4 linked regions of the Lonchura striata genome follow. The protein of the gene in region 1 purifies or fractionates together with the protein of each later gene. This does not show direct contact. Links are inferred from orthologs where the notes say so. Each region holds a gene or a part of one and is shown in the gene's direction. Other genes may lie near its edges.

The links.
Region 2: the proteins of CEBPB (region 1) and ATF3 purify together in Homo sapiens (affinity purification with western blotting; 3 studies listed by BioGRID and IntAct, with this or other methods). This does not show direct contact. The link is inferred for Lonchura striata from reciprocal best matches to the Homo sapiens genes CEBPB and ATF3.
Region 3: the proteins of CEBPB (region 1) and SMARCA2 purify together in Homo sapiens (affinity purification with western blotting; 5 studies listed by BioGRID and IntAct, with this or other methods). This does not show direct contact. The link is inferred for Lonchura striata from reciprocal best matches to the Homo sapiens genes CEBPB and SMARCA2.
Region 4: the proteins of CEBPB (region 1) and SMARCC1 purify together in Homo sapiens (affinity purification with western blotting; 3 studies listed by BioGRID, with this or other methods). This does not show direct contact. The link is inferred for Lonchura striata from reciprocal best matches to the Homo sapiens genes CEBPB and SMARCC1.

What each region holds. Positions count from the first base shown.
Region 1 is NC_134619.1:966,355-973,430, forward strand, and holds CEBPB (CCAAT/enhancer-binding protein beta), read left to right. Parts: upstream 1-5,031; 5' UTR 5,032-5,304; coding exon 5,305-6,279; 3' UTR 6,280-6,294; downstream 6,295-7,076. UniProt on the Homo sapiens protein: Important transcription factor regulating the expression of genes involved in immune and inflammatory responses. Also plays a significant role in adipogenesis, as well as in the gluconeogenic pathway, liver regeneration, and hematopoiesis.
Region 2 is NC_134605.1:11,854,805-11,862,320, reverse strand, and holds the start of ATF3 (cyclic AMP-dependent transcription factor ATF-3), read left to right. Parts: upstream 1-4,028; 5' UTR 4,029-4,202; intron 4,203-7,516.
Region 3 is NC_134642.1:16,216,183-16,223,856, forward strand, and holds the start of SMARCA2 (SWI/SNF-related matrix-associated actin-dependent regulator of chromatin subfamily A member 2), read left to right. Parts: upstream 1-4,102; 5' UTR 4,103-4,273; intron 4,274-5,269; exon of another isoform or gene 5,270-5,332; intron 5,333-5,636; exon of another isoform or gene 5,637-5,734; intron 5,735-7,674. UniProt on the Homo sapiens protein: ATPase involved in transcriptional activation and repression of select genes by chromatin remodeling (alteration of DNA-nucleosome topology).
Region 4 is NC_134603.1:156,475,416-156,483,091, forward strand, and holds the start of SMARCC1 (SWI/SNF complex subunit SMARCC1), read left to right. Parts: upstream 1-4,548; 5' UTR 4,549-4,572; coding exon 4,573-4,794; intron 4,795-7,676. UniProt on the Homo sapiens protein: Involved in transcriptional activation and repression of select genes by chromatin remodeling (alteration of DNA-nucleosome topology).

The sequences.
Region 1 (7,076 bases):
CACTCCCACGGCTCGCGTCCAAGGCCGAAAATGCAAAGGTGGGGAGATGGCAGGGGCCGAGGAGCGCGGCGTGCGGAGCACGGAACAGCGCGGTTCCCCCGCCTGGCAGCCCGTCCCCACTGCCAGCTGCCGGGTGGCACAGACCAGCCCCGGGGCTCTTCCGAGTGCCAGGACTCACAAACAACAAGCCCGGACCGATTCCCTGGCAGCCCCGCTTTCCCCGTGCTGCTCGACACAGGATGAGAGCAGATGGAAAACAAGTATTTGCACAGTCTAGAGCACGGACTTCTAATGCTTTTAATAAAGAAAAAAAATCTTCTATTTCTTTCCCTAAGCCACTTCCCCTGTCACCCCCTCTCAGACTTCCCTTGTTTTATGTTGCCCCTTGCCATACACCCCATGGAGTTCAGGCTGTCTGTCCCACAGCCTCAGGACTGCAGAAGAGTTCTCTTTTAGAAATTTCCTAAATGAATTACCAAGTCCTGTTACTAGGAACTTCTGACACTCTGTAGGGTACCCTGGAAGGGTAGAATTCATCTCTCTTGATGGATCTTTTGAAAGCTTGGATACTCCAGATGTCATAAATGCATGACCTGTAACAAATTCATCAAAGCAGGAGGCTGCAATTACCCAGGAAATGTCAGGCAATTACAGAGAACTTTTGAAACTTAGTGGACAGCAACTTCTCTGCCATTTTAATGGAGCACAAGGAAACGGGCTACTCATAAAATACAGCCACCTCTCACTGTCTCTGCTCAGACTGCCAGCCCACATCCTTCCAACAGACAGCTCCTGCAGGGACTTTGCCATGCAGGATGGAGATTGTGGCCTGTGCTTCCATGGGCCTTGGTGTCCTGACTCTTCCTCCTTTCCTTGTTTCTCAGCGCCACAGGGTGGCTGCTCTGACCTCAGGTTTGCTCTGGAAAGTTTTCAGTCTGGTCGGGAGGGCATTTGGCTGATGTTGTCCCACTGGAGTCAGTCTCCAGGTGTCGTCTCCACTCACCCGCTGGGGCAAAGAGCAGCGTGGAGATAAAGGGGATTGAGCAACGCAGCGCTGCAAAGGCCAAGCCTGCTGGGTCAGAGGTGAGAGAAAATCAGCAGAAGACCAACAAAAAGCATGTCCCAGCCCATCACCGTGTCCCACGGGAACAGGGTGAGGGAGCTGGGGGCAGGACCCCGGTCTGTAACAAAAGAAGAGAAGGAGGCCACAGACACAGCCTGCCCCTGGGACTGCCAGCGCGGCACCAGCCACGGGGCAGCAGGGCAAAGCTGTGGCAATCCCTTTTCGTGTTCAAATGAAGCAAAGTCTCGAGCCTGGCCTGAGCTGGGCAGACAGATGGAGAGCCAGCCTCTCCCTTGAGCTGAGACATTGTCCCTGCCTGGCATTCATCAAGGGCTGTTGTTTTACAGCAGAGAACAGCAAGTGAAGAGCAATGGTTTCAAACCTGTGCTCTGCCAGGTGCAGCTGCTGAGTTGCTGTTGGCATATGGTGTGCAGCTGAATAAAGAGAGACCTGGGGCTAGGCAGAAGGGAAAAAAGGGCTCAACATGCTCAGAAATAAATTTCAATGTTACTTCTCTATTCTACAGCCTTTATTGCAACACTGTTCTTTTAGGCAAGGTCCCCTCCTACCCCCCAGAGACCTTCCGTGCTTGTTTGCAGGGACGCTGCTCTGGGGTCCCTCCCGTTCCCCTCCTCACCTCCAACCCCTCCCGCAGCACCTCAGGCACTGCTGTGGCTGCCGGCTGCTGGCATCGCCCTCCTGCCCGCTGCCCTGCTCTGCCCCTCTGCTGCTGCACGAGCAGCTCCAGCACCAGGCAGCTCTGATCTTACTGACCTGCTGAGAGCGACTGCCAGGGGAATAATAAATGGGGCAAAACTGAGCAAGAAACATCAGAAATGTCAGCCAGGCTCTTTCCAGAGACCTTCTGATAAACACTCCAGTGTCTGAGCCATCCCCACTAAACTCACAGCATCTCCCCAAAGCTGGTGTCGTTCCAGAGGCAGCTGCTGTAGACCTGGAGTGTGTGAACTGGAAAGTTTGCAAGAAATCCTGGAAAAGAAGACAATTTCCAGGAAGAAAATTCCTCTGCGATGCTTTACTGTGGGTCTGAGCTGCAAAGTTGAGGCTTCCACAATACAAAAAGAGAGAGCAGAGTTTAATTCATGACAGAGATGAGCAGTGAGGATGAGATTCTTCCCTCCACCTTTTCACCATGCTGGTCTCCTTCTGTTCCCCTCCCTTTGTCTGGATTGTTTTACATATGAATGTAGAGGAACCTGGATGCTATTGCATCAGAATTTTTTCTCAAAAATGTTATATTCTTACTAAGTAATTTGGGACTTTTGCTGTCTCCTCCCTTAGCTGAATAGTTCTGAAAAAAAAAAGAAATTATGAAATCACTAGAAGGAAGGTGCTTTTCACAGAAGTGCTGCTTTTATAATGAAAATTGCTCTGCTGGGAGACAAGCTGAAGGGCTGCTGCCAGTGCCTGGGTCCCTTAACCAGGAATGTCTGCATCTCCCTGCCTAAAGCACCTCTGAGGAGCTTTTCAGGCCAATTTTCAGGACAATTATTAGCAGTCTCTGCACATCTGGCAAGGCCGAGCCAGGCACTCACAGGCACGGAGCCCTGTGTGCCCAGACCTCGGCTCAGTCCTGCGGTGTGAGCCTCGTTCTGCACCTGCTCCCATTTCCAAATCCCCACTCGTGGCCGTGCATTTGTTGTGACAAGTGCAGAAATAATTTAAAAGAGACCAGAGTTAGCCCCAAACCTGCTTGCCGAACGCTGGGGTTTTGGATCCGTGGTTAGTCCCGCCAACAAGGTTCCCATGAGAAGCTGGGAGCGGACGTTGGCCCCAGGAGAGTGGATGCTGGGATTTGAGGTGAGCTGGAGGAAGTTGAAAGGGATCCAGGCAGAGCAGGGAGGTGAGGGGGAGAGGGAAGGAGGGGACAGGCTGGGCAGCGGCCTGGATTGCCGCCCGGCTGGCGCGGTGGGGTGACTGCAGGATTACTCAGCGTGGGCCGGCAGGATCTGCTCCGCGCGGCAGCGGCGCGGACGTTTCACTGCCTTTTGTCAGGGAAGGTCAACCCCGGCAGGAATACAGCTTTCTGCTGCACAGCAGCCGAGGGCAGGGCAGAAATCTGAAGAGGGCAAACGCAGATCCCCAAAACCGTCGTGAAAATCTCTTCAAGAACTTCACCGAGCAGCTTTAGCATTCGGCTTCAGCTGAGGACCACGGCGAGCTGTGGACACGTCGGGGCGATGCCAAGGCAGACCAGCTGTGCCTGCAGCGGGTCAGTGCCCAGGAGGGCTCCTGCCCTGGGGCCCTGGGACGGTTTGGGGTAGGAAACACCAGACTGGTTTTTAAGAGTTCGGTTGGAAGGGCCAGTTAGGGCAGCCACTGGATGTAACTGCCAGATCAGAATGCAGGATAAAGGCACAGGATGAGGGAGTAAACAGCCAGAAGAACAAGCCCTGGCTCACTGCAGCTTGCCAGTATTTGCACCCAATACAGATGTTTGTATTTATGAAGGTATGGGCTCCAACTACAATCTCCAGACCCAGCTCTCTGGCCAGGCCCAGCTCCAACTTAATCTCTAGTGCATTCACCAAAGATTAACTTGGTAGATAAAGATGGAACTAGAAATATTTGAAGCCTGAAAACCTGTTAGGGAGCTTTTGTTATGGAAACAAACAAATAAATCCTATTAAAACGTGAAAAGAAAAATAAAAAAAAAAGAGAAAGAAAAAGTCTGATGATCCACTGACTGATTCTTAAATTCTTCCTCTTTTCAGAGTTCTGAGGTTTGAACATTAAGAACAGTTGACTGTTTGAATCATATAATGCAATACCTGTTCCTCTGGCTTAACGTTACAATATTTCCCACACCGCAGGATTGCTTCACATTATTCTAAGAGGCAGTGTCATTTTCCCTGCAGTGCTAGGTCTTCTTTACTGAGGGAGGACACTCCTACTTCCTTTAATTATATGTTTTGTTTTAAATTAATGTCCTTTATTCTGGGCATGAATCATCAGCTTGTAGACAGGTAAATGTGGGAGTAAGAGAGTGAAAATATAAGTTTGATTCCCAAGGTGGGTGTCTTTAATTAAAACGGACATCGGGATTCAGTCTTCCTTCCCAAACTTACCCCGCAAATCTCAAAACTTTTGGATTCCACCCTCTGATGCACGAACCTCACTCTCCTCTGGCCCCCATTCCGTCTCCTTTGGCTCCAGAGCCGGTTCCCTGCTCCCGGCTCCCGTGGGTGCCCTGACAGTTGCCCCACATCGTGCAGAGCAAATATGCCAAGACAAACGCTAGGGCCCCCATGGGTGCTGGAAGCGCCGGGAGGCAGCGCTGGCTTGGCCGGGCTCCGGTGCTGCGGCCGCCAGGAGGAGGCCGGGGCAGTGCCCTGCTCCAGCCCCATCGCTCGGCCCCGGGCTCGCCGCTGCCCAGCGGCTCTGGGCACGTCCCTGTGGCACTTCTGTGCCAGTGGGATTCGCCAAAGCGAGCCCGGGACGCCGAGTAACGGGATCCGGCTTTGGTGTGCAGCTTTCCCCCTTCTTTGCCAAAAGAACTTGGAAAAATCTCTCTTGCCTTGACTTCCCCTAGGGAAGCGGAGCGATCTGTGCCCAGCCCCGGGCACTGCCAGCCCCGGGCACTGCCAGCCCCTCGCTGTGCGGGCCCCGGCAGAGCCCGGGCGGGCACGGGGCAGCGGCAGCGCCCGGCACACGCTGTCCCCGGGGCCGCCCGCTGCCCTGCCCGCTGCCCGCTGCCGTCCCGGCCGGCCCTGGCCGCGGCAGCCCCGACCTCCCGCACCTGCGGGCCCGCAGCCCGGCCCCTCCCTCCGGCCCGGCCCGGTGCACTGTGGGCGGCCCGGCGGGCACCGCTCGGCACCGGCGCGCCCGCCCCGGGAGCCTCCTCCGGGGCCGGGACCGGCAGCGCCGAGCGTGCGGAGTGGCAGGCGGCCAGGCGGTGACGCGCCTGTTGCTATGGGATCCACCGCCCCTATAAATAACTGGGGAAAGGAACTTTCCTAAGTCAGAGACTTTAGGACACGGGACCCAGAACCAGATGGTCCGGAGGAGACGCGCCAGCCCCCGCCGCAGCTGCCGGAGCGGTGAAGCCCCGGCGCGCCGCAGGGACTGATCCAGCCCGGCCGGGCAGCGCCGCGGGGCCGTGCCCAGGCCAGAGACCGCGGCAGGGTCTGGAGCCCCCCACCCTGACGGCGGCAGCTTGAGCCTCTGCCGGGGGGGGTCCCCTGCGTCGTTTCCTCCTCCCCGCATCCCCCTTTGCTTTCATGCAACGCCTGGTGGCCTGGGACGCAGCATGCCTCCCCATCCAGCCGCCCGCCTTTAAATCCATGGAAGTGGCTAATTTCTATTACGAGGCGGACTGTCTGGCTGCTCTCAACAAGCTGCACCCGCGGGCGGCCGGGGGCCGCTCCATGACCGAGCTCACCGTCGGGGACCACGAGCGAGCCATCGACTTCAGCCCGTACCTGGAGCCCTTGGCGTCGCAGCCGCCGCCTCCCGCGGCAGCAGCAGGGGGCAACTTTGAGCCTCCGTGCAGCAGCGGCGCCGGCCAAGATTTCCTTTCCGATCTCTTCGCCGAGGACTATAAAGGCAGCGGCGGCGGCAAGAAGCCCGACTACACCTACATCAGCCTCGCCCGGCACGGCCACCCCTGCGCCAGCCAGAGCCACAAGCCGGGGGGGCTGCAGGGCTGCTTCCCGCCCCAGATCGTGGAAACCAAAGTGGAGCCGGTCTTCGAGACCCTGGACTCTTGCAAAGGGCCCCGGAAGGAAGAAGGGGGCGCGGGGCCGGGACCGGGGGGCATGTCCTCGCCCTACGGCAGCACCGTGCGCTCCTACCTGGGTTACCAGTCGGTGCCGAGCGGCAGCAGCGGGAACCTGTCCACCTCATCCTCCTCCAGCCCCCCCGGCACCCCCAACCCCTCCGAGTCCTCCAAGTCCGCCGCCGCCGGCGGGGGCTACTCCGCCGCCCCGGCGGGCAAGAACAAGCCCAAGAAGTGCGTGGACAAGCACAGCGACGAGTACAAGCTCCGCCGGGAGAGGAACAACATCGCGGTGCGCAAGAGCCGCGACAAAGCCAAAATGCGCAACCTGGAGACTCAGCATAAAGTCTTGGAACTGACGGCCGAGAACGAGCGGCTGCAGAAGAAGGTGGAGCAGCTCTCCCGGGAGCTGAGCACCCTCAGGAACTTGTTCAAACAGCTGCCCGAGCCCCTGCTCGCCTCCTCGCCGCGCTGCTGACCCCCGGCCGGGCGGCGGGGCAGCGGAGCCGCCGCTTCTTCCCGGCCCCGCTCCGCGCTCCGGGGCCGGGGCGAGGGCCCGAGAGCCCGCGGCGGGCGGGCGGCTTTGGTTTTCATTTGCGTTGTTGTTGTTGTTGTTGGATTTTTGTTTTTTTTTTTTGTCTCTATCGACATGTTGGCGGAAGGCTCCGCCGCCGCGCGGGGTCTGAGCGGGGCCGGGGCTGCAGCGGGGCGGGCGGGGGGACCCCGGCCCCGGCCCGGGCGGGCTCTGCTGGGCGCTGGGTTATTTAAAAGAGCGAGAGGAGAGCAAGGGCAAAGTGATGCAATCCTTTAAGCATGGCTGGGAATGCTGTGTACATGATGCAATCTCGTGTAACTGTCAGTCATGGATTGAGTAATCTGTTAAAGATGTTCCTACAGTTTTTTTATTATAAAGAATAATCTATTTCTATAAGAAAATACATATGTATATTTTGGGATCTATGCATTCTTGCTACATTTGAAGCATTAATGAACAATTTTAATAAACTTTATGACTAGGTTAAAAAAAAGTAGCTTGTTTTATTTTGAAGGCATGTTTAAAGTTAGATTAAACACAGGGTTGAAATTCCAGCTGATTCTAGCTCAATGCTGTGATCAGGGACAGGGATTTTTCTAAGTCTTTAACTTTCTCTGAGTGAAAGGGAAAAAAAAAAAACAACAAAAAACCCAATAACCAAAACCAAACCCCCAAACCCCAAGAGAAACTCAGCAAAGAACAGAGCTGGAAGCCTTAGCCGGTTCTTGTTGCCTCATTTT
Region 2 (7,516 bases), on another chromosome or scaffold:
CAGTTTTCTAACCCTGTGGTTTTAACTTCCATTTTTGGACCTTTTCAGTCCATAGAGATCCAGCTCTTCCAGAGTGAATTTTGCCCTTGCTCCTGTAGGCTTGGATGTTTTTTATTCCCTTTTTGGAGAAACCTATGGAAGTAGCCCACAGATGCTCAAAGAGTCCCCAGACAGCTGCTGAAAAACTCTGGGCAGGGTGAAGGTGGCTGATGCTGCTTCTGCTGCTGATTGCTCCCATAGTTCCAGCAGTAACAACCTACATGCTGGAAAAACTAGTCCCGAGTTTCACCCCTGGTGTTTGTACAGTGAGATGGGAAAATTATCTCAAAATTCCTGCATGTTTTGGTGAACAGAGGAGTCCTGCCACATAGATTCAGACCTGAATGTAACACATAGCAAAAATGATTATGAAGGTTAGTTCCCATCACAGAAGTAGAGAGTAATATTTCAGGCAGAGTCAGAAAACCTGATTTTGTGCAGATTTTACCACATGATAACTCTGAATTATGGAAATCTGTTTCTCTTATATGTGCTGTGCATTGAAAGTTTTGTCTTGTCAGGGTTACAGTAATTTCAAAACTTTATACAATTCAAACCACAAAACACACAGAGAGGCAGTTTTTACTCATGTTATCACTACACATTTGATTTATTTAAATCTCATTATATTTTCATCAGACTGAACAGGTTTAATGGAACTGTGTGACCAGAAATTAGCACATGATCTGGATGGGACATGGAGATTTTTTTTGTGTTGCTCTGACTGATGTCCTGCAGTAGCATAAATGTTAGGACAAGAGAAAGTTTGTGCTGTGAGACTGGGGGTCTGTTCCTCTGTATGTCTGTAGCTCTTTTTAATAATGAGACAGCCATATTTTAATTTTAATCCAATATCCACAGTGTGTGAAGTAGTGCCAAGTGATATGGAGGCAGGACTTGGTCAGAAAGAGATAAAGGAAAGAATTCTTTTCTGCACACTGGAGATTGCTGGAGGGCTGCAAGGACCACGCCAGAGGTGGTATTCAGCCTGATTTCTCTGCAGAGGGAAAAGAACCCAGTACACACCAGTCTGAGTGATGAGCTGCTGTACCTGGCTTAAGAGAAACAGCAGTTAAGATCGTGGATGTTACCTCTGTCAAAAAAATGCTGTTTCAGGGGATATGTCCCCTGCAGTTTGTGATGAAAGAGAGACATGGATTGGAAAAGGACCGGTAAATGTTCATGGGGAGGCAAATGAAAGATATTTTATGAGATGGAAAATTAAACTGGCAAGAACATCAGAGTATCTGGTGGCTGTACTGGGTGTTACTTTAACTTCCTGATAGTCTTAAATTTTACTTTTTTTTTTTTTTTTTTTTTTTAACTGGGGTATGATCCAACTGAGATTAGCTTAACTTTGGTTTCAAAAGGAATCTGGATAAAACCTATACAACACAGTGGAGCTGGGTTTATTTTTCACTGTGGTTTCATTTTCTTTTTTCACTGAAGACTCAAGCCAGGACATGTTTCAGTGGCCTAATCTCAAATGCGCACAGGAACATTTCTCTGTTTGCTTTGCAGGGAGGAGCTGGCTCACTTCAGGACAAGTTCAAGAATGAACACAACTGGTTTGATGTCAGATTTTAGTGCTGGCTGCAGCTCATGGGAAGTAATGGGACCAGCATTGTGTAGCAAACAAGTAGATGCCAGTGACCATCCACAACTGGATAACAATGCTTGGATTTCCAAGGTACTTCTACCCACACGGAAGGGGAGAACTGCTTTTTTTTTTTTTCCATTATTCTGCAACACTGCTCTGTTTAGCTGAAAATACTTTAAATACATTCCCACTTCTGATACAGCTGCCTAAATAAATAAGGACAGACAGTTGATAAATTTCTGTCATAATTGCAGCAGACACCTGTTCTTGGCCACTAAAACCAATGTTGTTAACACATTTCCACAGTGCTTAAAATTTTCCAACCAACTATCTTTTGGGAAGAAATTTTCCACATTTGGCTTCTGCTTGAGAGGAATTTTTTTTTCTTCTAGGCTTGAGAAAAAGTGCCAGCTGTCCTTGAGCACAGCATGAATTATAAAATTGTGCCTCTGAAGTAAAAAGAACTTATTAGGCTGTAACAAGGTGAACTGAAAAGCTTTCTCTAGACCCTTCTGAAAGTTTTTGCCTGGCATTATACTTGACATTGATTTATCTAGATTAATAAAAATGCAGCAATAACTATGTTTTGATAGAGCTAAGAATGATTTCTCTATAGGTGAGTGAAAAAGAAAAAAAGCTTGCAGCTCACAGGAGCTGTAAATGGAGTGCTGCCAGGTAGGTCAGAGGAGTTCACTGCTGCCCTGACAAAATGCACTTCTTTGTTTGCAGAGAACAGGCTGCGACTGCACCTTCCACAGGAGGGAAGCCCACGTCACTACCCCAGACTCCTTCCTTTCCCATCAGATCAGGATTTTTCTTTCAAGAGCAGGCAACTAAATGCGGAATAGGAGTGTTAATTTTGCAAAGTTACTGGCACTTGGACATTAAAAAAAACTAAATTTATTACTCCAGACTATGTGGCCAATATTATATCTATCTATATCTATATCATCTATATCTATATCTATATCTATATCATCTATATCTATATCAATCATCTATATCTATATATATATCTATATCATCTATCTTTCTATATATATATACACACACATATATATATCCAGACCATCACAAGCACACAGAAGGGAGATACAGAAGGACTTTCAAACTACTAGTCTCTATTCTACTAATTCTGTAAACTACTATTCTACTACTAATTTGTATTCTTCACAAAATGCTCCAAGTAATAAAAATATACCAGAATATACCACTCAAGACTTATTACCTATTATCAAAACTGATATATTGAACATTATAAAATTAATCAACAATTTGGAGCACTTGATTGGGATATGCATCTTATATATTAAGGTATCCATTTCATGTTGGTTTACTTACAATACAATGTACTCAAGCATGAAATGTCCTGGTCTTTTCAAGTCAAGTGCAGAGGCTTGAAGACTGGCTTAATAACAAGTTTGCATATATTATATATTAATTATTATAGTACTGGATGATTGCATGCATTTGTCTTTGTAAGCTTTCTGTGTCTCCCCCAGCTAAATGTTTTCTTTGATGTTTTGGTTTTTGTTTTGGATTTTTTTTGTTTGTTTTTTAAACATCATATTTTCTAGCACTTTGAAGGCTGTTAGAAGGTAATTTCTGTCTGTTAACAAACCAGAGGGGGAAAAAAAAGAACTAAACAAAAACCCCTTTACCACAGCCACAACTGTATTTCCCTCTCTGCTGTAGGAATTCCCTGGTTTTTCATGAGATTATAAGGAAATCGCATGCTGCTGTGTTTTAAGAAAAGTTTTAAAAAATACCCTAACAAAACAAACAAAACCCCCAAACAGTGTTATTTTTAGCTGTCTATAATTTTATTAATTTACTCTTCTCAGAGTAAAAACGAAGCTTTCTCCTTTATGTGAACGGAACTTTTAGCTGTCATCTAAAGTAGCGAGGGGAGGAGGAGGGAGAATGAGAGAAACCGGGGAGTGGGGGGGGGTCATGAACAGTTTTTTTTCCTCTAGAGAAAGGTCAGTCCCTTCGAAAAATACACAATTACCAGTTTTTTTTGTTTGTTTTTTTTTTTTTTTTTTTTTTTTTTTTTTTTTTTTTTTGTCGCTAGAGGGACTTTGATTTATTGTCAGAAGTAAAATAGCCCGGAGAAAGAAACTCTCGGAGTCTTAATAGAAATAAATAAATAAATGACGGGGAGAACGGTGGAGACGGAAGGAGAAGGGGTCTGTCGGGGTGCCGAGGGATGCTGCTCGGCCCGGCTCGGCTCGGCGCGGTGGTGGTGTCGTTCCGTGCCGTGCCGTGCCGTGCCGTGCCGTGCCGGCGGGGAAGCCTTGCATCACCGCCACGGCCCGCTTCCCTCCTCCCTCTCTTTCGGAGAGGCTATTAATAGCATGACATCAGCCAGGGACTCGCCGCCAGAGTAAATACCAGCGCTGCCCGCTCGGCTATAAAAGGGGGGTGATGCAACCCGGGCGAGCGGCAGAGGCGCGGGGAGCCGAGGGAGCCGCTCCCGCGGGAGGCGGCGGAGCAGCGCGGGCGCGGCGGGGCTGCGGAGCCCCTTCCCTCCTGCCCGGACGGCGGCGGCGGCGGCAGGAAGGTAGGTGGGAGCAGGAGAGGAGCGGCCGGGACTGCCCGTGCCGGCGGGACGAGGGGCTGAGCTCCGGGAGGGCTGTCCCGCCGCGGAGGGATGGATGCCCGCCGGGGGACCCGCGCTGCTTCGCCGGAAAAAAGTTTCGCCGCCCCGGGCGAAGTCGGGCGCGGTGGTTCCGCCGCCGGCCGTGAGCTCCGGGAGAGCCCCCGGCCCCGCCGAGCTCCGCCGGAGCCCCTCGGTGCCGTGCCGGCGCTCACATCTGGGGGAACCCCTGCCCGGGCTGCCGCCAGATGTGAGCGCCGGGGGTGCCCGGCCAGCCCCGGTGTCCCCGGGCCGGCAGCGCCGCTCGGCACCGCGCGGTGGCGGCCGCGGCGGGCACGGTCCCGGCTCCCGGGAGCCGCGGGATGCCCGAGCGGAGCGGCCGCGCCCGGCGCTGCGGGCGGCCGGCGGCGGCACCGCGGGCACCGGGACGGGGAGATGCGGCGGGACAGCCCAGGCGGCGACAAACCGGCGCTGCCGCGCGTAGAGTCGTCGCTGATGTTCCCGTAAACCGACCGGGAACTTCTGGTGACAGCCGGGGGATACCAACTCTCCTTGCTGTCCCGGTGTCTTGACGTGAAGTAGATCAGTTGCTGAACTGTTGCCTAAGCAAATCAGGCGTGACACAACGGACGGCTTCTTTCAGAGAATGAGTTTCCTGGTGGAAATCGATTTTCCTCCTGGTAACAACATTTGAGAAGCTGGAAGGCAGCAGAAAATGGTTTGGGAGCGATGTGCGATGTCAGAAAGCTTAAGGTCAACTAGCGTGCACAGAGGTTGTGAACTGTAATTGCTCTTAAGGCTGTTTAAGATTAACCTCAGTGGTTATCAAGGTTTATTGCATCAGCACCAGAGGAAAAGGAATTTGTATGAAGAAATAAAACCAAGAAACATAGTCAGCCATCTGCTGTTAAGCAAGAAAAAACTGAAAGTAGTCACTTTCAATATTAAAATTAAGCAAGCATATACTTAATTAATGGAAGTGCACGGCTAGGAAGCCTGTTTGGATTTTAAAATCTTGGCAGATGAGATGTAAAAAGTCATTGCAGATTAAAAGAATCATCTTTAAAACAACAAACAAAAAGCAGGGGGAGAACGAATGAATAGAGTTGTTTGAACCTACCTGAATTGGGAGGTTTACTATTCATATTGCCACGAATAGTAAAACTGTTGAGAATTTCAAAAGTAAGGCTAAAGCACTGAAGCATTAACTCAGCCCGGGAACAAGCTGAGCCGGCAGCAGTGCAGGGCTGAGAAGTGTTCAGCACCTCCAGTGGCAGTAACTGCAGAACATGTGCGTGGTCTAACACAGTAAACAGAGATTGTATCAGAAAGGCCACGACGGAATCACACTCTAAGGCTTGATATTCTTATTCCTACTGTTTCCCCAGCCTTCGCAAAGCCAGAGGAAATGAGATAGTGCTCTGCATGGCCTTTGGACAGAGGGACAATTTGTACAAAAGCTGGGACAAGGAAGGGCAACTTGTTGCATTTTTTTTTTTTTAATAGTAAAATTGAATTTTCCTATTTGTAAAACATTTCTGAAAACAGATTTGTTCCCCAGAAACTGTAAAGCATCTACCTTCCTGGAGCAATTAGAGGTGCATTTCAGGATGATTGGGAAGGCAGTGAGCTGTCCGGGCAGGAGAGCAGCAAATTCCTAGGGTCAAGGACACTTTCTCCTGCTCTGGACACCTGACCACTCCTTTTTTGCACACTAATGACAGGTGGGTGAGAGAACCTGAAGCCATTATAGTAGGGTTTTGGTGGTGTTTGGGGTACACTTACACTAACTACTAGAAATCCACAATTAACACAATTTCTCAGGCACATTCTTGGTTTCCTCTGGTGCTGCTGCTGACCTTAATTAAAAGTTCACCTAAAATGAAAAATAATTGAATAAAGCAGCAGAGCTTGAAAATTATTAGCCCAACTAATTATTTGGGAGGTTGGAAAAACAGTTTTACTGTTACTTTAAGACTCCTGGATGGATTGAATTGTACAGAATTAACTTTGTTGAATGAAGCCATCACCAGCATTCAAGTACACTGAGTCAGTGAAAATAACTGAAATTTCTGCTGGCAGTGAGGGGTTCAGTGTCATCTGGAATTAGCCTGTTTAAAAATTAATTGAATGGTTGAATGTTGGCAAATGGCAAATAATACTGGGAGGGCTTCAGCTGGAAATTAATAGGGCCATTTCTGACTTGCTGGGAAAGAGTAACTGCTAGCTTTCTGAGATTATAGGATTAAACTGTATCAGTACTTTAAATGTGACTCATGAGCAGGGGCTTTCTGAAGAGAATTACATAAATTTCCCAAGGTCTTTCTGAATAACAAATTGTTCCAAATAATTTCCCCATCTTGAATAACTATGGGTGAAATCCTGGCCCCATTGAGGTCAACAGAAAAAGTCCTATTGATTTCACTGGGGCCAGGATTTCACCCTGAGACTCTGGGAAATGTTCAGCTCTTCCGTGGTGGCTGGGTGAGGAAGAAGTGAGGAAGACTGCAATAGGACCTGATACTTTCCAGCAACAGGCAGTTAATTCACTCTGCTCTGGTTTTTGTGTTTGGCTCAGCGATCAACCAGGTTCTATTCTCATTTGCACCAGTGTGGATTTACAGTGTATTTTTAGATATCTCCAAGCAAATTCTATCTTCTTCTCAGGGCACGTGACCCCAACATTTCTTGCTGGGTTCCAGAAGTAACGTACAGGGACCTGTGCAGTTCTAAGTTGATCATGTGGAAATTTAGCTTACCCACACTGCTACCCTGAGGCAGCTGTTTGCTTACCTGCACTAAGTTAATTACAATTGACTTTCCTGTAATTATTGTGGTTCTAATCCAGAGTAGATAACACATACTGTAATTATCCATACAGCTATTAAAAAAACCCCAAAACAAGAACAACAAAAATCTACACACCAAAGATACCTGGAAAACCAAGATAGTAAAATCCAATTTAACACAAGTCATTTTATGAACCAGGGAAGTATTACAATCTGTTTTCCTGTGGATTTGCATGTTTGTCCCTTGGACCACACACAAAAGGTGCTCAGTTTTCTTCCAGACCTCTTATCTCACCTCTGCTGGGTGAGAGATGGGCTGTGACTTGCAGGGATGTGTGCATCAGCAAACCCACTGTGTTTGGATGACTGACCGCTGAGTTTTGCCTCTTTCTCCCTCGTGGGGCCACCAATTTTCACAAAGCACATAGGGCCTCTCTCCCTTCAAAACTGGCTAAAAATAAATAACAAGAATGACTAAAAAGAGATAAG
Region 3 (7,674 bases), on another chromosome or scaffold:
CCTCATGAGAGCCACCCATCATATATTTATACATATTGATGTGATCTTCTCTCAGTCTTCTCTTCTCCAGACTGAATAGGCCCTGTCCCAGCTGGAATGCTCCAGACCCCACCTATGCTGCCCTCAGCTGAACATGCTTCAGGAGCTACATGCCTCTCTTGCCCTGAGGAGCCCAGAACTGGACATGTTGAATTTCAGACAGTTCCTCTCTGCCCACCTCTTCAATCTGCTGAAGTCTTTCTAAAGGGTTGCACAGCTCTCCTGGGTACTGGCCGCTCCCTTCCAGCTTTGTGTTGTCAGTGAACTTGCTGAGGAGGCATCTACCCATGACTGACAAGTTAAACAATACTGGACCAGTACTGAGCCCTTGAGGACACCACTAGAGACAGGCCAGCAATGAGATTCTGTGCCACTGATTACAACCCTCGGGGATCTGCAGTTCAAGCTCAGGAAATTTGGGTCGGACAGTGAGGTTGCAGTGAGAACTGGCACCTCACTGTCCACTCATCCAGCCCATACTCCTGAGCTTGCCTATGAGAGTAACACCAGAGGACAGTGTCAAAACTCTTGCTCAAAGTCCAGGTAAACATCTACTGCTCTTCCCTCTCATCCACCCAGGTAATTGTCTCAGCATAGAGGGCAATCAGGTTAGTTAAGCACACTGACTACTCTTCATCATCTTTGTGTCCACCATGTATGTGGAGGTGGCCTCCAGGATGAAACGTTTCATTACCTTTTCCAGGATTAAGATGAGACCGATCGGCCTGTAGATCCCAGAATCTCCTTCTTGCCGCCTTTGAAGACTAGGGTGGTACTTGCTGTCCTCTAGTATTGTGACACCTCTCCTGACTGCCATGACCTTTCAAAGATCTGAGAGCAATCATGTCTACTCGTTCTTTCAGCATTCATAAGTATGAAGGAACCCAGCAGAGCCCATGAACTTGTGGATGGCCAAGTTCACTTCTTTATGATTTCCCTGGACACACTGAAGAACATTTTGAAGCAGAAGCCTGAGCATAAAGCTGTCTTCTTGGAATGTTCTAGCTTAAGCCATTTTTCACAGCCACCTAGGCTAAAGCAGCTGGATTCTGCTAAGAACCGGCTGAAATACTAAAATATAATTTTTTCTGCTATTTCTGTTGCAGTGAGTGCAATTGTCTCTGGCAGACAAGTGATAGCAAACACAGAAATAGCAGCCCTAACTGTTACAGCAGGGGTTTCAAGGTGGTAATGGTGAGGTTGCTGTAAACAATTGCAACTCCCTGGTGGTAATGACCTCTTTTTGGTTGAAGTGTCCCTTCAAGAGTACCACCGATACATCAGTTTCTCAACAGCCTTACTGTGTTGGTATAATTCTTCAAATAAAAAAGCTTTAGTTCCACAGCAACATATCTAGCTACTCAAAGAAATATCTCTTTTTGTAGTGGTACCTCATCTAGTCTGAAAATTTTACATGCTATTTTACCATTAATGGCCATATCCATTTAATTCAAGTTAAAGACCCTCATCTTTTCTTCCTTTTGTTATATTAGATAAATTAATGGGGGAAAACAAATTTATCCTATAGCATGTGACTATTCATCATCAACATATTCATTATAAACAAAGCTTCAGCTACTTAAGGCTCATATAGGGAAGCCTTACTGACCCTTCCAATTAGGATTTTTGTATCAGGTGAACATGCCTCACTTGACAAAAAACTCTCATGTTTCCCACCCACTCCAGACAGATTACAATGAGATTCAATGGTACTTCATCAAAACACAAAAAGAAAAAGCATTCAGACTGACACCAGCAACAGGCATGTTCATGCTCTCAAAATGGAATTGGCTGCTGCAACCTTCCCAAAATAAACATAATCATTAACTAAATATAGCTGTATCTATTCCAGAGTCAAGAGAACCTTTCTTCTTTTGCCTAAAAGATTAACTTTTTATTTATTTTTCTTCTCTGTATACTTTCTAACAAAAAGAATGGCCTGACCTGGTTTAGAATGTTTTGAGTGTTGCTGAATCCAGCAAACAGTCGAGCTGTTTTGAAAGAAAGCTTCCCCTCCATTATTTAATGTTTGTTGTCTCTTTGGCAGAGAGAAAAGGCAAACAGTCCTCAGATTTACACTAGGGAATGGAGGAAGAAAAACAAACGACAAGCGTAAATGACTGCCTAATGAGAGTTTCAGTATTAAGAAAAAAAATTATAATGAGAAAGCATCTCTTTACCCCTTTCATTTTCATTAGCATAATGTTCCAAGAATGTTAAATACATTCTTTTATCTCTTAGACGCCAGTTTGCAGCTTAAGACAAAGCTAAAAACAAAGTTTTAAATTACAAGTCAATCAAAAGATTTACATAATGACATAAGTTATTTTGTATATTAAGATTTGAATGATTCAACTTCTTTGATTTTGTTCCCAAGTAAATATTTTGCAATGACAATGGTGAACTGAAAATACAGCCTTTTAAACTTTTTAATTTATTGATACTTTGCATTATCCAGTTAGCACTGATTCTTACACACCTATTTTCAGCATTTTGACCATTTACATAAAAAAAAATAAAATGAAGACGATTAAACTGGAAAACTACAGGAACAGTAGTAATTCGTATTGTATTGCCAGCATTGCAAATTGGTGATTTGAATAAAAAGAGCTCCACGCTAAACACCGTGTAAACAATATCTGTCACTTTAAGACCATAAGATGCATTTGGTGCTCCCAGCACTATTTCAGGTCTTTAACTACTCCACCTGACCACAGCTCAGGAACTTCACTTAAACTCGGTCACCTGAGCGTCTGTAGTAGCTACTGATTTTACTTAGATTCCTATGAACATTCTTACTCCATACGAAGTGAAATTTTACTTGCAGAATGGCAAATACTGCCCATGTGACATAATCTTAAAAAAATGTAACTACCTCTAACACCACGTACAGTAATCTGGCTGCATTTTTTTTTTTTTTTTACCTCTACAACCCGTGTTCAAGAAAAAAAAAAAACCTCAGACAGGTAGGCCCATTATTTTAATGAAGTACTTAGTTGCCTGTTACATGAACAGGTACAGCTTGTACAAAAAACATGGGAGCTCTGCAGCCCCTGCTGCAAACCACGTAAACCACCTGAAGCATTAAAAAAAAACAAAAACCAAAAAAAAAAAAACAAAAACCAAAAAAAACAAAAAAAAAAAAAAAAACAAAACAGGAAAAAAAACAACCAAAGAAAGAAAACCCCAAAAACAAAACAAACCAAAAAAAAACACCCAAAAAACCAAAAAATATGCAGCACTAGGATACAGAACTGGAAAGTGTCCTTCCAAACCAACTTTAAAAAACCTACTCAAACGGAAGCAAGCAACACAATGCACTATTTCCCCTCCCAATCGCGCAGAAACAAGAGCTGCTCCGCGGCTCTTCCCCCGGGTTCGCTCTCGCCGCCGGTGCCTCCGCAGCCGCCCGGCCCTGCCCCGCGAGCGGCCGCGGACAGCCGCAGCCTGCCGGCAGGCCGGGTCCGCTGCAACGCTCTCGGCAGCCCGCCGTCGTCCACGACAGAACCTCTGCTACGGAGAGAGGGGATGGGCTCTAAGCTTTCCCCACACACGTGTTTTTATGTTAAGGGGAGAGAGACACCCGCCCTGGGCACGCACACGCACACGCACACACACAGACACCCAACAGCCAGACACAGCTGATCCCACGCCCGTCAGGCTGGCTCCTCCCCGCCCCTCCAGCGGGGCAGAGGCACAGCGCACTTCCAGCACCTTCTTCACCTCTTCCCCAAACTACTGCCGCGAGTGCCGCCCTCGTAGGCAAAGAGGTCCTGCCCCTCTCCCCGCGCCGCGGAGGCGGGCCGGGAGGGGCGCGGCGGCGCCGCCGCGGGGAGCGCGGGCTGCCGCGGCCGTGCGGCCCGCGCGCAGCGCCGCGCTCGCCCTGCGCACGGCGCCGCGGAGCGCGGCGCACCCCGCCCCGCGCGCGCCTGCACACCTCCGCCCCCCCGGCCTCCCGCGTGAGCGACGGCTCCCCGGGCCAATAGAGCCGCCCCTTCTACGCAAGGGGGCGGGCACTCCCTGCCTGGCGGACCAATGGCAACACCGCTGTCTGAGCAGTGGCGAAGGCGAAGGGGGGGCCGGAGGAGGGGCAGGAGTTTAGGAAGAGGAGGGAATGGCTGTCATCAATGAAGTCATGTTCGTGATCTAGTCCCTCGCTCCGGTTCTGGACTCGGGTGACTCACTGAGGGGGGAGAGGAGCGACAGTCAGCACGGCGCTCCGCCCGGGCGGAAGGTAAATACAACTTGCGACTCGGTCCAACCCCGTCAGCTCCCCGTGCCCGGGCACGGTCCTTTATTGTCGCCGGCTGTGCCGGCTCGCTCCGTGCCCACCTTCCCTCTCCCCATCGCTGCCCTTCCCTGCGCACGGCACCGCCGGTCCCAGCCGCCGCCGTGCCACCTGCTTCCTCTCCCCACCTTCCCCCGTGCCGGGCCCTCCCGAATATTTATATCCCCCAGTGGGTGGGGAGAAGAAAGTTTTGATCCGGTATTATTCTGGAATAATCACGATGCGGATCTCCGGAGCGGGAGCGACAGAACCCCCACGGAGTCGCCGGTGGCTGACTCGTGAGTCAGCGGCACTCTCGGTCCTGCCGCCCAGCGAGCGTGTCACGGGCTGCGGGCGAAGCGGCCACAAATAGATCCTTGGGGAGCGACGGCCCGCACGGACGGGCCGGGGGCGGCTCCGCTGCAGCTGCCGGGGGTCGCGGGGTGAAGTTCAGGGCGTCCGGAGGCAGCAGAGCGCGGTGCGCTGGGGCTGTTCCTCCGCCGTGGCACACGCTGGCTCAGACCCAGCCGAGCAAGGGGAAGTGGGGAGGCATGGGGGGGGAGGAACATGGTGCAGGGGGGAGCGGTCTCGCCTGCGAGGAGAGTAGCGGCATTCCCCGGCAGAGCCAGGGAGGCCATGATCCGGATCGTCGCTGCGTGCCTGTCACAAACATCGCACACACCGGGGAGGGGGAAGAAGCGGGGGCTTGGACTTTAGCCCAACAGGGCTGCGGCTCCTGTTGCTTTTCGGTCTCTTGTTTTTAACTGTGCAGTCACTCCTGCTGGAAAGGTGTCGCGGTTTACTTCCCAAAATAGCTTGCATGTCGTCGTACCCCTCCCGTTTTCCCTGCAGAAATTCACCCCCCTCCTCCTCCCCACCTCCAAGCAGAGTAGCACAAAACATGCGCTTACAATTTTGGAATCGCCTGCCAAGCAAAAAAGCGTTTTATTTCCGGTGTGCGCGGAAATTTATTTTTTTTAACCCGGCCGGGCGGGAGCCAGGATGCAAACGCGCGCGGATGCTCAGGTAGCTGCGGGTCGCCGGCCCCCGTGTCGTGAGAGGGGACAGCGGTGTTTGGCACCTGGAAAAGTTCTGTGCCCAGCCGGAGGCGGGGGTGGGCGGCAGAGCGCTGCTGCAGCCAGCTGCCGGGCGGGGCCGGGGGCAGCGGAGCCCGTCCGCGGGCCGCAGCGGGGCAGGGGCGGGAGGCGGCGGCGGGGGGAGGATAGGAGGGCGGGTGGCCTTTCCCGTCCCTCCGCCTGTACCAGCGGCGGCGGATCAGGAAGTCACCGCCGCCACACACAGGCGCACAGACATGTTTGGTCGGCGTGACATGGTGGCGGAGGGAAGGAGAGGCGGGGAGACGGGCCCGGCCCAGCCCTGAGGCATGACCCGGCTGCTCGCCCGCCCGCCCGCCCGCCTGCGGCCGAGGTACGGGGCCGTGCGCGGGCAGCGCCGCCAGCAGCGCACCCGCTGCTCCATGGAGGGGCGGGGACAGGCAGCAGCGGGGCCGCATTTCCAGGCAGGGACGCTTTACAGCTTGTGGGCCGGGGAGAAAACTTTCCAGAAGGGCTGGAGGGGGGAAAACGGGGCCCTGCCGGTTGTGCGCGCCCGCCGCGGCGCCTTGGCGGGGGAGGCGGCGGGCGGCCGGCGCCGAGGCCTGCGCGCCGCCCGCCCGCAGGGCCCGAGCGCCGGGGCAGAGCGGCGGGGCTGCCGCCGAGGCGGCGAGCGCCCGCCCTTGCCCCCCGCCGCTCCCGGGTCGCGGGTGCTCCGCCGCGGCTCTTCCTTGCGTGCACGGTGCAGAAATGGAGTTTCTTGCCTTGTCTCCTCCCCTCTTAAATTTATAATGGTGGAACTACGAACTGCGCACGGCTGGAAAAGTTACAGCTCTTCTAAACTCGATCTGAAGTTACAGTTTAACGATTGGCTTGGATTGTTTTTTGTTTTGGTTTTTAACCTGAGCGTGCGTTATGGTCAAGCAAAGGGAGTGTAAAAGTGTCAGCAGATTACATACATTGTACCGAATTTGTTTTTTCTTGATACCTGATTAATATGTTTGATATTCGGAGTTATCGAATGCTAGGTTAACGCTGTTCTTTTTAGGATATATTTTTATGAATATTAATGTGAATATGAATATGCAAGTAAATAACCAGCTGAAGAATTGAAGATTAAAAGTTGCTGGATTTTTCTTTTTTGTTTGGTCGGGTTTTCTTCCGCTGTGTTCTGCATGCTTTCATTGTAGAATTGATCTGGGGTCTGTGACACTGCATTGTTCCGTTTGCATTTTCGCTGGTTTTCTTTTAACTTTCTGAAATGTTAAGTGGTTTTAACCACAGACCCTAAGACCCAAACGGTACACAATTCTGTACCAGAATTTAATTCCTTTGCTAGTGTACCAGTTGCGTGTTCGGGGTGGGGTAGTCTCCTATGTGCAAGTTACTATTGTTGTGCAAATACGGGCACACTTTCTCTTTGGGAACCTAATTGCCCTATTACTGTCTCTGACTTTGTTTCTTTTGTTCTTTTGTGATTCTAAGGAAAAAAAGTAGTGTGTCAGAAGGATGGGTTTGCCTCGAGGCAGGTTTTTATGTCTTTCTCTCTCTATACATATACATATATATATATCAGTGATAGAAAGAAAAAATACTGTATGGATAGTGGGCTTTTAAAATTTAGTGTGGATCATACAGCATATGTGGACTTGCCAGAGGTGAGAGTAAAAATATTATAAACATTATTTCTCTTTAAGACTGGTATTTCTGTGGTGTTGGATGGAACATGTGCCAAAAGAGCGTGTTCAAAGCTGTTTTAGATCTTTTGTTCATTTCTGAAGTAATCTATGAACGTTTCTTGTCAAGTTTGAAAAGTGCTTTCACCAACAACTGAGGCTTGAAAATTAACAGGAGAAAAAGTCCTTCAGCTTGCATACCTATATTACATATATTCGTGACAAAGGTGTGTTTGAAATTACTATCTCCCTATATATTGAAATTACTATCTCCATCAGTTTTTGTTGGACTTGTTAAGGTCAAAATGTGCACAATAACAACTGAAAAAATACCTAGATTTTGCCTGTGTTTTTTTGTCGTCCTGATGAGTAATATTGCTATGAACTACAAGTGATCCTTTCCAGGAGGAAGCTCCTAATTCTTTGTATGATTTAGAATATTTTTGTAAATTACTTATAAAAATGTCTGTTACATTTATGTGTGTTTCCTGCTTCTGTCAGAGTTCTCTGTCTGTAATAGGTGTTTCCCGGACCTCCATACCTCCATCACTTTTGAACTTTATCAGATTAGGTGTTTGTTTTTTTTTTTATTCTCTACTGGAATAGTAAACACAAAATTATGGCATAAAGATCACTTGTC
Region 4 (7,676 bases), on another chromosome or scaffold:
GTCCCCATCAATGACTTCCTGAGCATGCAATTAATAGCCTGCAATTATCATTCCAATTATTCACTTCTGCTTTCAGTAAGACAAAATTACTTCAGTAGCAAAAAAAAAAAAAGGCTTCAAATAAACCCAGCCCATTTTCTGGCCACATCTCTGGATGTGACACCTTGTCCATGGTCCATGGGTTCCTCCCCACGGACACACGGATACCAACCTGCCCTGGCTGCCAGGGCCACACCTGGCCTTTTCCAAGGATGAAATCAATAAAACCAGATTAATTGACTTGGCAAGAATTCAACCCCACGTGTGCTGTGGTGATTCTCAGAGGGGAATGTCCCTGGTGTGATAAATCACTGCAGGGAACAAAGTCGGGGAGGTTTTTTGTGGTTCTGGAGCCAGATTGCCAAGGCTGGAGCCTGTGTCCCCTTCCATGGGGATCACCCCAGCCTGGCTTAAACTGCCCTAAAGCCAAGGGGATTTTGATGAGTTGGGTGAGTCCAGTATTGCTCTGACAGAAAGGAGCCAATCCCTGAATGCTCCAGAAGTGCTGCAGAGAGGAAACCAGGAGTGGGACAGGGAATGCTGCAGGGAATGCATCTCCCAGGGCACTGGCCACATCCCCCTGCACATTCTGACCAAAGAGGGGCAGCTGTTTTTGGGGGTACCCCAGGGAATCATCCAGGGAATCCCTCCCTCAGCTCCTGGGACAGGATGGGCAGGTAAACTGCAGCGTTCCCTAGTGGGAATTCAGGGAGCAGGAACAAGGAATGCCCCAGCCATGCTGGGGTGGGGAAAAGGGTTCTTCCAAAAATGCCTTTGAGCTGAGAGAGGGCAGGGATGGATGGGAGATTGGGAAGCAATTGCTGGCTGGGAGGGTGGGGAGGGGCTGGGATGTAATTCCCAGAGAAGCTGTGGGTGTTCCCTGCATCCCTGAAGTGTCCAAGACCAAGCTGGACATTGGGAACAGCCTGACCACGGCCTTGCTGGATGATCCTTACACTCTCTTCCAACCCAAAAGGGTAAATGCAATACAAAGTTGATGAGAGTGGTCTTTTCTGCTCAAGAACAAAGAAATAAAAAATGGAGAACCCTCCGGGGATGAGGCTCCAAGGTGAACAACTGAGATCCCCTTGGATAAGCAAGATTCCAACCCAGCTGTTGGTAGGATCCTGGCTGCAGATCCCAGCTGGGCTGGGAGCCTTACTGGGAACCAGTAAGAATCAGACTGGGTGGGAGTGGGGCAGGACAGGGAGGAGAATAAAGGATCTGCTGAATCTGGACAGCAGGAGCGCAACCTGGGAATCACTTTTAGCACATCCAGCAGCCTGGGGGAAATCCCAGGGTTTGCTCCTGCAGATCCTAATCCCAAATAATAAGTGTCCAACTGTGGCAGCTGCTCCAGCCCGCAGGGAAACACAGAGATGGAAAGGGATACTGCAAGACTCAAAATGGATTTTGTCTGATGACAGGAGAGATGTGGGAGCTCCGAGGACACTGGATTTGTGAAGAAATGGCCTGGACAGGCAATGGCACAGCTGGAATGAGAATCCACAGGAGTGTGGAGCCCTGTGCCTCACACCCAGCAAACTCCAGAGCCCCGAGTGGCACAAGAAACACTAAAAGTTTGTTAGGAACAGACTCAGTGCTCCTGCTGCGAAGGCAAAGAGTGAAACCAGGCAAAGCGGCACGGAACATTGTCAGATAAAATCCCAAAGGATGGGAAGGAATTGCTGGGGTCCCTTGATCCACTGGAAAACAACTACATGAGGAAAAACCACATCGCCGAGAGAGACGCAGGGAAAATCACAGCAATTCCGATTATTGGCTGCTGGGATAGTCCAGCGGTGTTGGAAGGGGCAGAGCCCCGAGTGCTTTGTGAGGAGAACAAAGGAGAAATCCTGCTGTCGGCACATCCAGCCCAAGGATTGCCTGCCCGGGCTCCGGGCAGCGCCAGCCCGCCGCTCGCAGCCGTGATTTATCCTGTACTTTCCGTGCTTTGGGCCGAAGGAGCGGCGGAGGGCTGCAGGAAACCTTTCCCTACAGGAATCCTTTCCTCCCGGCCAGCCCCGCAGGACCCTCGCTGCTGAGCGGCGGCAAGGACGCGCTGCCGGTGGCACCGGGCTCCGAGCGGCCCCGGGCGCCGGGGCCAAACCGCTGACCCGGAGCGACCCTTCCCGCGGCCCCGGGGCTCCACGGGGCCGGCGGGGACGAGCCGCAGGCGGGCGCGGAGAGGCGGGAGCGGGAAGGGCAGCGGCAGAGCAGCTCCGAGCGGAGCGGAGCGGAGCCTGCCCCGGGCAGGGACGGAGCTCCGGGCACAGCCGCGCTCCGCGGCCGCTTCCCGGGGCTCCCCCCGCCGACCCCTCGCCCAGGGCCCGCGGGGAGCGGTGCCCCGGAGCCTCCCCGAGCATCCCCGAGGCCTCCCGAGCATCCCCGGGGCCGCCGAGCATCCCCGGTGCCGCCGAGCATCCCCGCCCGCGCCGCCCCGCCCGCACAGGCCGCGGCCCCGCACGGCCCTCCCCGCCTCAGCCCGCGCTGCTCGGCGCCATCCCCCGCTCGTCCCCCGCCTCCCGCCGCCGTGCCGCCCCCGCGGCCCCCCCGGTTCTCCGCAGGGGTCGCGGTCCGACCCCCGCCCGCCCAGCACCGACCTCCGCACCGCGACTGCCGCCGCCGGGCCGCCCCTCGGGACTACAGCTCCCGGCAGCACCCGCGCGCGCTTCCGGCGCGGCGCACTTCACTTCCGCTCTCCCCGGAACTGAGGCGGCCCGCGCGTTCCCCGCGGCCGGCGGCGCCGCGGCGCGATGCCCCTCGTGGGCGCGGGGCGGGGTCTGTCCCCATGGCAACGGCACAGCCAATGGGCGGTGAGGGATGTCCCCATGGCAACGGCAGAGCCAATGGGCGGCGAGGGTTGTTCCCATGGCAACGGCAGAGCCAATGGGCGGCGCGGCCTCTGGGGGCGCTGTAGCCTCGGCCCCGCCGTGGGACCCGTTCGGTCTGAGGCCCGATCCCGGTCCCGGTCCCGGTCCTGGTCCCGATCCCGGTCTGAGGCCCGATCCCGATCCCGATCCCGGTCCCGATCCCGGCCCCGATCCCGATTCCGATCCTGATCCCGGGGATGGACCCGGCCAGCCCCGATCCCGGCACCGGTCACGATCCCGGCCCCAATCCCGATCCCGGCCCTGATCCCAATCCTGGTGATGGACCCGGCCGGCCCCGGCCCTGATCCCGATCCCAGCCCCGATCCCGGCCCCAATCCCGATCCCGATTCCGGCCCTGATCCCAATCCCGGGGATGGACCGTGCCAGCCCCGATCCTGGCCCCAATCCCGATCCCAGCTCCAATCCCGGCCCCGGCCCCGATTCCGATCCCGGGGATGGACCTGGCCAGCCCTGATCCCAGCCCCAATCCTAATCCTAGCCCCGATCCCAATCCCGGTCCCGATCCTGGCCCCGATCCTGATCCCAGCCCCGATCCCAATCCCAGCCCCGATCCTGGCCCCGGCCCTGGCCCCAGTCCTGATCCCGATCCCGATCCCGGCCCCAATCCCGATCCCAGCCCCGATCCCGGCCCTGATCCTGATCCCGGCCCCGATCCCGATCCTGGGGAAGGACCAGCCCCGATCCCGATCCCAACCGGGGAGCTGCTCAGAGCACCCGTGGCTGCCCCTGGATCCCCGGCAGTGTCCCAGGCCAGTGTCCCATTGGGGCTGGAGCAGCCGGGACAGGGGAAGGGAGCGAGTGCTCCGTGTCCCCGCCACGGCAGGGCTGCGATGGGATGAAATTTTATGGCTCTCCCAAGCCAGACCCTCTGGAATCAGGGATGCGATGGGATGAGATTTTATGGCTCTCCCAAGACAGACCCTCTGGAATTGTTGGCTGGGCTCATTGTGCTGCCTTTTGAGAATGGCAGTTCTGAAATGGTGAAGTTCAGATTGCAGGATGTTTGCTGGGTTTATTGTTCCCTGTATCTCCAGAGGTTTCCTTTCCTGCAGGTGTTTATTTCTGCTTTGGAGTGTTCAGGGACGAGGAACATTTACAAACTACTGTAAATGCAAGGGACAGTTTTATACTGGGGATTGTGATTTTAATGAAGGACCTCTTGGTGCTCTATTTAATAATGTTGGAACTAAAATATGTATTTTTAAATGGTTTATCATGGTTTTGGTTTGTTAAATTTTTTCTCTGTTATGTTCAATTCACAAATAAAACATTACTAGACACTCAAAACTAAGTGGTTTCTATAAAGGAAAATTGGGGGGAATTGCTTCATAATGACCCGTTCCAGGGCTCTGGTTGTGGAAAGATAAAGGCACCCAAACAGTGAAGACTTGGTGCAGACACCTGCAGGTAATTATGTCAGCACCCAATTTACTCCTTAATTGGGGCTCGGGGTCTCCAGGCGGGGCCTGAGCAGACCAGAGAGGTACCGAGGGCACGGACGGGGAGTTCGGGGCCCGGAGCACCCCCTTGCCGGTGCCGAGGGCGCGCTCCCGTTCCGACCCCCCGAGCGCGTCCCCGAGCGCGCTCCCGCTCCGGCGGCGGGCGCGCTGCCGGGGTGGGCGGGGCGCGGGCGCGGCGCATGCGCGGCGCGGGGCGCGCGGGGACAATGGCGGCGGCGGCGCTGGCGGCGGGCGGAGGCCCCGGGAGCGGCCCCGCGGCGGCCCCGGCGGGCGGGCCCGGCCCCGCGCTGGCCGCGGCGCGCCGCAAGGACGGCGGCCCTGCCGGCAAGTTCTGGGAGAGCCCCGACACCGTGTCCCAGCTCGACTCGGTCCGCGTGTGGCTGGGGAAGCACTACAAGAAGGTGCGGCCCGGCGGGGGCGGAGGGCACCGGGCGGGCGGCGGACGGGACGGGGGGGGGCCGCAGCTTTGCTCCGCTCTTTGTGAGCCGCGGCGGGCGCGGGGCCGGCTCGGCGGCAGCGCCGGGCACATTTCCGTTCCCTCGGCGCCGGCCGGTGCCCGGGGCCGCGCTTGGGGCAGCCCCGCTGGCCCCGGGACGTCCCCGCTGCCCGCGGGGCCCGGCCGGTGCCCGCTCGCCCCGGCAGCGACTTTCCTGCGCGGGCAGGTCCCGGCCCCGCCGGGTTTCGCTTCAGCCGCGCCCCGGCGGTGCCGGCAGTGCTGGGCAAAGGGAGGAAACCGCAGCGGGAGCTTTGGGAGCCGCGCTGAACCCCGCGCCGTGCCCCGGGCTCGCTTGCGGCAGCGTCGTTGCTGCCCGCGGGCTCCTCTTCCTCCTCGCACGCCCCGGCTGCTTCGCTTTCTTTATGCGTTTTAATTTTAAAGCGTGCTGACTTTCTAACTCCATTTCGGTCCGCAGCCGGGGGGGATGGCCGGCGTGGCTTGGCAGCGGCTCCGCCGCGCGGCGGTGCCCGGGGAAGCCGCGCGGCCCCGGCCCGCCTCCTCGCCGCCGTTCCCCGGGTTGGGGCAGCCCCGCTGTCACCGCCCCTGGAGCAGCCCCGGCTGGCGCTTGGCTTCTTTGTGAGGCGGAGAATCCGAGAAGGGCGATCCGACCTGGGAATCCGAGCTGCAGCGCCCTGGGGTGGGAGCCGCCCGGGCTCGGGTGTGTTTTTCCAGTCCTTCCAGCTGGGCTCGGGGCGTGGGGCGCCGTTTGCAGCGGCCGCTCGAGCTCTTTGTGTTGACGGGGAAATGTTACGGAATACTCGTGCAGTTTGGCTTGTTCCGCTTGCGGTTCTGTGCTGTCCCACGCCCTGGAGCAGCTGTGGTTTCGCCTTTCCCTGCCCTGGCCGAGCAGCCCCGGGATGATCCCGGGAAATCGCTGCTCCGGGAAGGGCCCAGGTGCCCTGCTGAGCACGGAAAGGATTTGCTGTGGCTCGAAATCCCCGGCCAGGCTGGCTCTGTGCTGGCTCTGTGTGGTGCAGCAATGGGAGCCAAGGGAAAGCCCCTCCTTTCAAACTGGTTATCTAAAATAGGTATTTATTTCTCGCGAATCTGAAAGGTAATTAGAGTTGGGCTAAGGAGACTTTACAGGGTGAGTGAGTTTTGGAATGTTGCTGTGACGATCCTTTTAAAAAATGAAAAGTAATTTTGGTTTGAGGAAACAAGAAAACTGATACTAGTGCTCAAGGATCAAGCCTTAACACTCCAGGAGGGAAGGGCTGGCTCCCTTTTGGATGTGCTGGAAATGGACTCTGGTTCAACTTGTTCTGTTTTCATCCTGCTGTAGGTGCGTGGCTCCTCCCAGAGAAGTACGTGGTGATTTTAACTGGCTTTTGTCCAGTCTATACTCTTAAAAATAGATGTTTGTACATCTCAGTGGTGAAGCTGTCAGCAGCAGTTGGTGTGTCCAGCTCCAGGGACACTGGGGACCAGCTGGAGATAATCCCAGAGCACCACCGAGCTCAGTCAGGGATCCAGAGGTCCTGAGGGGCAGGGAGGGTTGGAGAGTTGCATTTACAGAGCTGCTCATTTTGTCTCTGGATTAGACAAGACTTAAATATTGAAGAGTTCTCTGTGTTTCTAGAGTACAACAGCTGTGGAGGAGCTCTCTGTATCTTCAGAGTACAATTTAGAGCAAAGGAGGTTTCAGTAGTAGTGTGGAAGACTCACACTGGACCTTGAAAAACTCATTGACAGGCACCAAAGACAATGATAGAAAATTAAATTATTGGTATTGTACTGAGCAGATTTATTCCAGGCTCCCTCCTGCTCCCAGTTTGTGTGTGGAGTGTCTGGAAGTGGGTTTGTGGTGTTCTGTGCATGAAGGGATGCAGGAGGTGGCCAGCCCCATCCCAGGCAGTACGGGTGCAGTAGGGATGGTGGAGCCTTGCTTCCCTGAGAGCTGGGAATGGGCTCATGCCGTGGGTTTGGAGTCCTGGGGCATCTGAGAGACTTACATGGAACAAAGTCACAGATCCTGGAATGGTTTGGGTGGGAAGGGGCCTTAAAGCCCATCCAATTCCACCCCCTGCCATGGCAGGGACACCTTCCACTGTCCCAGGCTGCTCCCAGCCCTGTCCATGACACTGCCAGGGATCCAGGGGCAGCCACAGCTGCTCTGGGCACCCTGTGCCAGGGCCTGCCCACCCTCCCGGGCAGGAATTCCTTCCCAATATCCCACCCATCCCTGCCTTCTGGCAGTGGGAAGCCATTCCCTGTGTCCTGTCCCTCGATCCCTTGTTCAAAGTAATTTGGAAAGGCTGTAATGGACACCTTGATGTCACCATAGTAACTTAGAAATTCACAGTGTAGAAGTAAACTGGGCAATTCTCTTTTTATTATCTCAATGCTCATTTATCTAGGACATTGTGCATTGTTCAGGCAGTTCCTTTCTCAATAATCCCTCATATTAAAATGGGCTGTCCCAAAGCAGTTATTTGTTGTCTCTGAAAACTCTTTCCAAGGTAGTTTGGGAGGGGTTTTAGCTGGGATCCAGGGAGGGTTCTGTGTGTGCAGCTCAGATCCAGGGAGGGTCTGTGTGTGCAGCTGGGATCCAGGGAGGGTCTGTGTGTGCAGCTCAGATCCAGGGAAGGTTCTGTGCATGCAGCTGGGATCCAGGGAGGGTCTGTGTGTGCAGCTGGGGTCCAGGGAGGTTCTGTGTGTGCAGCTCAGATCCAGGGAAGGTTCTGTGTGTGCAGCTGGGATCCAGGGAGGTTCTGTGTGTGCAGCTGGGATCCAGGGAGGGTCTGTGTGTGCAGCTGGGGTCCAGGGAGGTTCTGTGTGTGCAGCTGG